Rattus norvegicus: one gene and its partner. Each later gene encodes a partner of the first gene's protein in a complex. Links are inferred from orthologs where the notes say so. Each region holds a gene or a part of one and is shown on either strand. Other genes may lie near its edges.

Region 1 (3,606 bases):
AGTACCTGACAGACATGACTGGCTGACACCGGAAGTGGGAAATTTGAGAGGCAGCTCACTCGGGAGGGCCTCAGAAGAGTTCTGGAAGAAGGGAGTTTGGATCCAGGTGTCCACGGTAACTCATCAGCCCATACACTTGTTTCCTCGCTTCTCATTTCATAAGAAAATCTCCATTAGCCCCGTGACACCCCCCACTGGTCCTGTGATACTTGACCAGTCACTGACACCCTCCATTGGTCCCGTGACGACCTCCACTGGCCCCACCTTTGCCTTTTGGCTGGAGGCGCCTTAGCCAGGAGCATGGGTGACATAGGTGTTGGGACAATGAAGCCTCAGAGACTCACCGTGCCTGTGGCTGGCCGATCAATCTGGATCTCCACCACCTCACCTTCAATGATCTCTGTCTCCTCCCTGGTGGGACAGACAGCACAGACTGGGTCAGACCAGCCCAGGACACCCTGGTTCTCTGACCAGGACTACGGGCAAGCAGAGGGGCCACCCCACAGGACTCACTTGATACGGACACCAATGGAACGGCGGAAGGCTTGTGTTAGAGCCTCGGTCTTGCTCATCTCCAGAGAAAAGATCTCACTGCCTGCGATGGCTGTGAACGGTGTGTCGGGGCCCAATGCCTGGGCCATGCCTGTGGGAACCAGAGGTCAGGCAGTTGTGGCTACTGGCCCCACGTCCCTGACACAGTGGTGGTTTATGGTCCAAGTTTCCAGACATCCTCAAAACCATCCATGCCTCTACTCCATGCCCAGACCTATGAGCCATTTAGTCCTGACATACTGTTCTCTTCTGTCTTGGTACAAGTCACCTTAGAGGCATGGTGACATGGTCCCATCCCTAGGTGAGCACTACTCCTAAACTGATTCCTGGCAGAACCTTGGCTCCTCCCACCCGGTCCACAGTCTCAGTAGAGGTGGAAATGAGGCGACTGGTGGGTCAGGTGAGTCTCGGAGGCTGAGACGCATGGGAAGGCTTTGAAGGACGGACGGAATCTGACAAGAGGTGGCTGTGGCCCTGAGTCACCAGTGGACTGCCGCAGAGAACACTGGTCACCAAATCCAGTGCTCACCCTCTCTCTCTCCTATTCCCAAAACTCCAATGAGCCAAATTCAGAACTGCAAAACAATGCTGGATGTGGTGGTGCATGGGCCCAGCACTTGGGAGGCAGAGCCCGCAAAGACTCCATAAAGACAGCAACCTCTGCGGCGCTGTGTGGTAGACTTTCCCACAGCAGCTTCCAGGCATGCGCATGCCGGCTGCAACTCCTCCTGAGGACCCGAGCACAGTGGGGAAGGATGGAACTTAGCAGCCTGCTTGGAATACAAGTGAGCCGAACATGGAAGCTAGTGTAGAAGGCAGGGACCCTGGACAGCCTCCTCCTGATGCTTCTATGTGACTGTTAATCAGTCAGCCTGTGCCTGACTTCCACAGGAGGGCTTCACTGCAGTGCACAGAGGAGAACATCTGTCCCTTGAGGCCTCTTACCCATGGCGATGGCTGTCTTCCCTGTGCCTGGCTGGCCAGCAATAAGGACAGCCCGCCCCGCAATCTTCCCTTCTCGGATCATCTCCAGCACCACGCCAGCTGCACGCCGGGCAGCTAGCTGTCCCACCATGCCCTGGGAAGCCTGGAGGGTGGAAGGAGAGAGGACATGGAAGGTAACTGGCTGCAGAGCCACCTTGGCATTCCCGCCACACCCTGGCACACACCCCACCTGCTGGAAAACAAAAGAAACAGTTCTGATTTTCTCTTCTTTCTGAGACAGGGTCTCACTCTACAGACCAGGCTGGCCTTGAATTCATGGAGAACCGAGTGCCTCTGCCTCCCATGAAGCAGAGGTGCTGTAGTACAGAATCAAGAGGCCTGAAGACCTGCCAGGCAGCAATAGCCCACACGCCCAGCCCCAAGGCTCTACCTGTCTTGGCTCCAGGGCATCATCCAGTCCCAGGCCCCGGATGTGGGAGTGAGCACCTGTGTGGGAGGAAGGGAAGGAGAGTTACTGGACAGTTCTAGGCAGCACTGGCTAGAACTGCTGAGTCAAGGGCTTCCCCTAGAGCTCAGGCTGCTCTCTTGGTCAAACGATGCCCAAGCTTGGTTAAGTGCTTGGCATCCAAGGTCTGGATGATGCTTCCAAGGTCCCAGGCACTGGGCCCAAGAACTAACGGTGAGCTAGGGTCTCAGCCCACACTGGGAGGATATAGGTACTTGGCACAGGTGCTGTTTTCACATCACACTGACAAGCCAGAGCTTGTTGCTACCATTCCTGGGCCATTCCACAGGGATGTGGAGAGACAGGTTAGGACCCAGCCTAGAGGTGAGGACAGGATCCCTGAACGGCATCCAGTGGCTCTGAAATAAACCTCAAAAGGGCACAGGTACCAGACCTAACACACCCTGCCTCCCTGACATGCACTCTTACACTTCTGGAAGACATGTGATTTAGCAAGCACAGGGCCTGCATGAGGCCCTGGGTTCCAACTCAAGCACTAGAAGTGGGAGGGTGCTTTGTTTCAAAAAAGTAGAATTCATCAGCCAGGCACAGTGACGTCACCCTCAGCTACACAGTGAGTTCAGGGCCAGCCTATATGAGAAAACCTCGAGAAGAAAAACAAGGCCAGGCGTGGTGGTGCACAGCACTCAGAGGGCAGAGGCAAGGGGATCTCTCCGAGTTCGACACCAATCTGGTTTACACAGCTAGGTCCGACCCGCTGAGGGACAGCTGAACAAGTAGGTGTGGCCTCCTGCACAGCTGGCGTCCTGGGAGCTGGCCTGCCGGCCTCACACCTGCCTGTGGCTCTGCGAGGCTCACTACTCAGCTGCTCTGAGAGCTGGCCTCCTCACCGGGGACAGGATGACAGACTCTCCACCTCCAGATGTCACAGGAGACATCCATCATGAACACTCACGAATCTGACGGTTACCTGCCGAGTACTCTGCAGGCTTGGGGCCTGAGTCACACCAGGAATGAGGCAGGCCCAGTGTACTCTCAGGGAGTATTTCACCATACGCACTTATGTGCTGGACACAGCTCAGACACTCCTCAAACTTCCAAAACCCCATGAAGGCATGCTACGTGTATAGCAGCCTAGTCTGGGACTAAGGCCCCATCACTTCCTTGTCTGTCTGTCTGTCTGTCTGTCTGTCTGTCTGTCACTCAGCAGTAGTGCCTCCCCTGGTCCTGACCCTGCTCACTCACCGATTCGCTCGATTCTTGTCACATCTCGGATCTCAGGGACTTTAGTAGTGGCTGCCTGTGGGTGAGGACAGTGATGTGTAAGAAGAGTCCCATTTGTCACATTTCATCTGCTCTCTCACGGTCCTGCTGCCCACCAGGAGCTCCCCGCCTCACAGGCAGGCAACACCCCAACAACAGCCACCAATCACTAATGGCCGTCATCAGCCCCACCACTGAGGGCCCAGGGAGATAGCCTGTGTCTCACACCTCAGGGCCCTGGCACATGGTGCATGGATGAGGAAACCCTCCTGTCCCTATACTGAGCTCTTTGAGGATGGCAAGGAGACTCGCAGACCAGCGAGCTCTCTGGCTCCCAGTAGGCACCTACTTGTCTCGCAAAGGGAACAGTACACACAACC
Region 2 (4,341 bases), on another chromosome or scaffold:
AAAGGCTCCCAAGGCTCCCTTAGCATTGGTTACAGAACTGACAGTGGTTCTTAATCATTGGCAATGAAGTCTGTATTCTGCTTTCTCCTGTGTTGTGCTATGAGAGCACCTACTATGTCACAGTCCATTCACTCCATCATACAGCACCAATATTCCTAGCCACCCATGAGTGGTGTCCCAGGGTCATGACAATCATGTCCTTGCACTGAAAGTCCATGCTTCAGGCCGCAGTACCCATGACATGCTAATAAAAAAGAAGAATGCGACTTGCACAGTGATGTTGAACAGGATCCTCTTATCACCCACTCTTGAACTTCAGGAATATTCAGAAGAGTGATTACCACAGATAAACAAAGTCACTGATCACTATGCCACCCAGAGACGGTTGTTTGCTTCACATGTGTCATCACACCATAGTCTTTCAAATAACAAAGGCTATCACAGCAACAGGTTTATAATTTAGTTCATAAACGAATAATACATGGAGATCTTTTCTGACCAAGGAAGGTTCTTTTATATCACCACATTGGTACAATGTATAGTTCTTTACTGCCTTCAAGCTCAGTCATTTACTGTTCTGTCAACTCTTCACTACAGATGCTGGCAAGTACCTTTGCAGGTAAACACGCATTCATCCTCACAACTGCTTCCACACCGGTTACTCTGAAGTGTCATACAGCATTTACTCATTTTGCCAGTTTGATCTCCAAAAATTTCTGTATTAATTTGCCCTAGCATCTAATATTTCACAAATGACAATATCAGAAATGTCGATTATTAGTTAATTGTAGCTGATTTATTAACACATTTATTTAAAAGCCATGAAATGGGTTAAGTATTTGGAATATTAAAGTTTTCTATGGAAAACTTCATTCTTTTTTGTTAAAATATAATTTTTTCATCTTTGAGATCTACTGACTTATACAGGAAGAACAAATTTAAAACATGCAAAACCAAATGAGGATATCACTTTAGTTTTTAAATTACGATGTTTGAATTTTGCAATGTTAGCATAAATAATCTAAATCATAATTTTAATATTATATATATATATACTATTCAGATTCCCACAGCAACTTACCCGATTCTTCTTCAGGTTAGAAAGTTCATCCACAATAACTTTCTGTTCTTTAATCTATTAAAGTAAAGAAAAAAACCTAAAGTGGAAGTTTTCAAACTATGTTTAGTGAGCACATTTTTAGCAACTGCTTTAAAACAAAACATGGGACTGGGGCCTGTCATGGACTGCCTGTCTAAATGGATACTGTACAGATGCAACCACACTCAGGCTGGAACCAGTAGAAGACAGCTGGAGAAAGAAGCTGACTTAGACTTGCCAGGCGCCAGTTACCACAGCTCACATCTTTAACCAGGGTGAGACACTGTCTAGCCAAATTAATACCAATCTTTTAATTTTATAAGGCCTGGCTGTAGACTAAAAAAGAGAAATGAATGTGGCTTCTCCTCTTTACCAATAGCCAGTGGTTTTATGATGTATGCACTGGATGACAGCCAGACATTCGGATAAAATGAACGGAACGGTACTGAACGAACGCCCTTCCTGCAGTGGTACAACATCATCTCCCACCCTTGTATCATTCTATTTTGAGTATTAAGGACAGCATACTGCTGGTATCCTTAAGCTCAGTTTGTTCCTTATCATCAGATGAAATGCCCAAATAGGCAATAAGTCTACACTGACACAGCTACACAGTGCCAAGAGGCTTGCTATGGCAGTAGCCAGAGTATTCTGAAAACTCATCCCCACCCAAATGAGTGTGCATGGGCAGTGCTAAGAGCTGTACTAACATACGACAAAGCTACATTGAGTACACCCTCCCTGAGATTCAAGGCTGCTTGTACAGCGCTTTTATGCTCACTACAAACGACAGGTATATAATATATCTCACTTTAGGTGACACCACAGAATACTGTGGCACACTGGAAATAAGGCAATGTACTGAAGATGTCATACAGGACAGAAAAAAAATATGGAATTCAGGATGTTTAATAACTGAAAAGGCTGCACCCACACCCCCTCCAATCCACACGTTTAAAGATTTTTGTCTGTAACTGGAAGTTGAGATCACTGTACAGTTCAGGTATGGGGTTGCCTCCCTGAAATCCTGACTATTAGGCAAGAGAATAATTCAAGGTGATCCTCAAACAATATTTGAGGCTGGCCTGAGCTACTTATGAAACCCTATCCCAAAAAGAGGAAGGGAAAAAATTAATCTGCTACAGTCCTGGTTGAATAATAAAGAGATGACCAAACTGATGTTTTTAGGATCACTTAAAGGTGAGAATATATTTTAAGGTCAACAGGCAACTGATAACTTCGGTTAAGAAAATTTTGCCTGAGTCTGGAAGAACGGGCAGATTTCTAAACTTTCATGATGGACGTCATGGATGGCGTCCAGGCGGGTACATGGCTAAATGGATGAAGCACAGCCAACGAGCAACAGATCACATGTGTGAAGGGTTCCGAGAGGAGAGTGGTGCAAACGCGTAAAGGAAAAACGTCATTAAGACCTCTGTCTCAGTATCACTGTTGTTTGCAGTGGATAAATCTGTGCCTCCATCATAGCAAATCTGCAGGACGCAGGGGAAACCAGCGGCCGGTGCTGAGAATGGACCGGTGAGGCTACTGGGCACCGATGCGACCGCGGGACCCGTTTCCCGCCGCCCGCCGCCCACCGCCCATCCTCGGCGTCCCACGGCACCTTACTGCTAAGGGCCTCGGCGTGCGCGGTCGATGTGCGGGTGGGTCCCGGCGCGGCGCTGTCTCCGGGGTGCTCCGCACCGCTAGGCATCGCCACGCCGCACCGAACGGAGGAACCGCGGTGGATGAAACAGCAGGCGGCAGGCCCAACCGGAAGCCAGTGTTCCTTTCAGGACCCTGCCCCTTCCGGAACCTCGACCAATGGAGTGCGCATATTTACGCCTGCTCAGTAGCAGGCGTGGATACTAGATCCTGGAACTCCGACTTTAAGTAGCTGTGCATCAGCGCACATTAGTTTTGGCTAAAGGTTCGTCTGGCTTGGCTGGAGAGTCTATGAATGGTCTGTGTTGCCCCCTAGCGGATGCTATGTAAAAATAAATCACTAATCAGTAGTGTGCCTAACACTGTGGTCTTGGCTTTTTTTTTTTAATTTTTTAAATTGGATATTTTTATTTACATTTCAAATGTTATTCCCCTTTCCGGTTTCCCATTCATAAACACCGTATCCCATCCCCACTTCCCCTTCTTCTATGAAGGTGTTCCCCGTCCCCAACCACCAACCGCTTCCCACCTCCCCACCCTGACATTCCCCAACAATGAGGATCCAGCCTTGGTAAGACCAAGGACTTTTCCTCCCCTTAGTGCCCAACAAGGCCATACTCTGCTACATATGCAGCTGTAGCCATGGGTTTGTCCATGTATATAGTCTTTGGATGGTGATTTAGTCCCTGGAGCTCTGGTTGGTTGGTATTGTTGTTCTTATGGGGTTGCAAGCTCCTTCACCTCCTTCAATCCTTTCTCTAACTCCTCCAATGGTACCCCGTTCTCAGTTCAATGGTTTGCTGCTAGCATTTGCCTGTGTATTTGTAATGCTCTGACTGAGCCTCTCAGGAGACAGCTGTATCAGGCTCCTGTCAGCATGCACTTCTGGGCATCAGAAATATTGTATGTTTATGGGCTGGAACCTCAGGTAGGGCAGGTTCTGAATGGCAATTCCTTCAGTCTCTGTTCCAAGCTTTGTCTCCATATCTCCTCCTATGAATATTTTTACTCCCCCTTTTAAGAAGAACTGAAGCATCCACAGTTTGGTCGTCCTTCTTAAGCTTCATGTGGTCTGTGGATTGGATCTTGGGTAATTCGAGATTTTTGGCTAATATCCACTATCAGTGAGTGTGCATACCATGTGGTTTTTTTTTTTTTGTTTTTTTGTTTTTTGTTTTTTTTTTTGTGATTGGGTTACCTCACTAGGGATGATATTTTCTAGTTCCATCGATTTGCCTATGGATTTCATGAAGTCATTATTTTTGTAGAAATATACCACATTTTATATCCATCCTCTGTTGAGGGTTATTTGATTCTTTCCAGCTTCTGGCTATTATAAATAAGGCTACTGTGAACATAGTGGAGCATGTGTCCTTGTTATACGTTAGAGCATCTTTTGGGTATATGCCCAGGAGTGGTATAACTGGGTCCTAAGATAGTACTACTTCCAATTTTCTGAGGAACCTCCAGATTGATTTCCAGAGTGGCTGTACCAGCTTGCAAACCCACCAACAATGGAGGAGTGTTCCTCTTTCTCCACATCCATGTCAGCATCTGTTGTCACCTGAGTTTTTGTT

The links. Proteins that work in one complex are often made in the same cells at the same time.
Region 2: Ruvbl2 (region 1) and Asdurf share a complex: the UniProt entries of both Homo sapiens proteins name them as parts of the PAQosome complex. The link is inferred for Rattus norvegicus from reciprocal best matches to the Homo sapiens genes RUVBL2 and ASDURF.

The regions. Positions count from the first base shown.
Region 1 is NC_086019.1:105,045,119-105,048,724, forward strand, and holds part of Ruvbl2 (ruvB-like 2), read right to left. Parts: intron 3,264-3,606; coding exon 3,209-3,263; intron 1,984-3,208; coding exon 1,928-1,983; intron 1,640-1,927; coding exon 1,498-1,639; intron 644-1,497; coding exon 514-643; intron 412-513; coding exon 345-411; intron 1-344. UniProt on the Homo sapiens protein: Possesses single-stranded DNA-stimulated ATPase and ATP-dependent DNA helicase (5' to 3') activity; hexamerization is thought to be critical for ATP hydrolysis and adjacent subunits in the ring-like structure contribute to the ATPase activity.
Region 2 is NC_086027.1:55,617,328-55,621,668, reverse strand, and holds the start of Asdurf (ASNSD1 upstream open reading frame protein), read right to left. Parts: upstream 2,871-4,341; 5' UTR 2,814-2,870; coding exon 2,724-2,813; intron 1,136-2,723; coding exon 1,082-1,135; intron 1-1,081.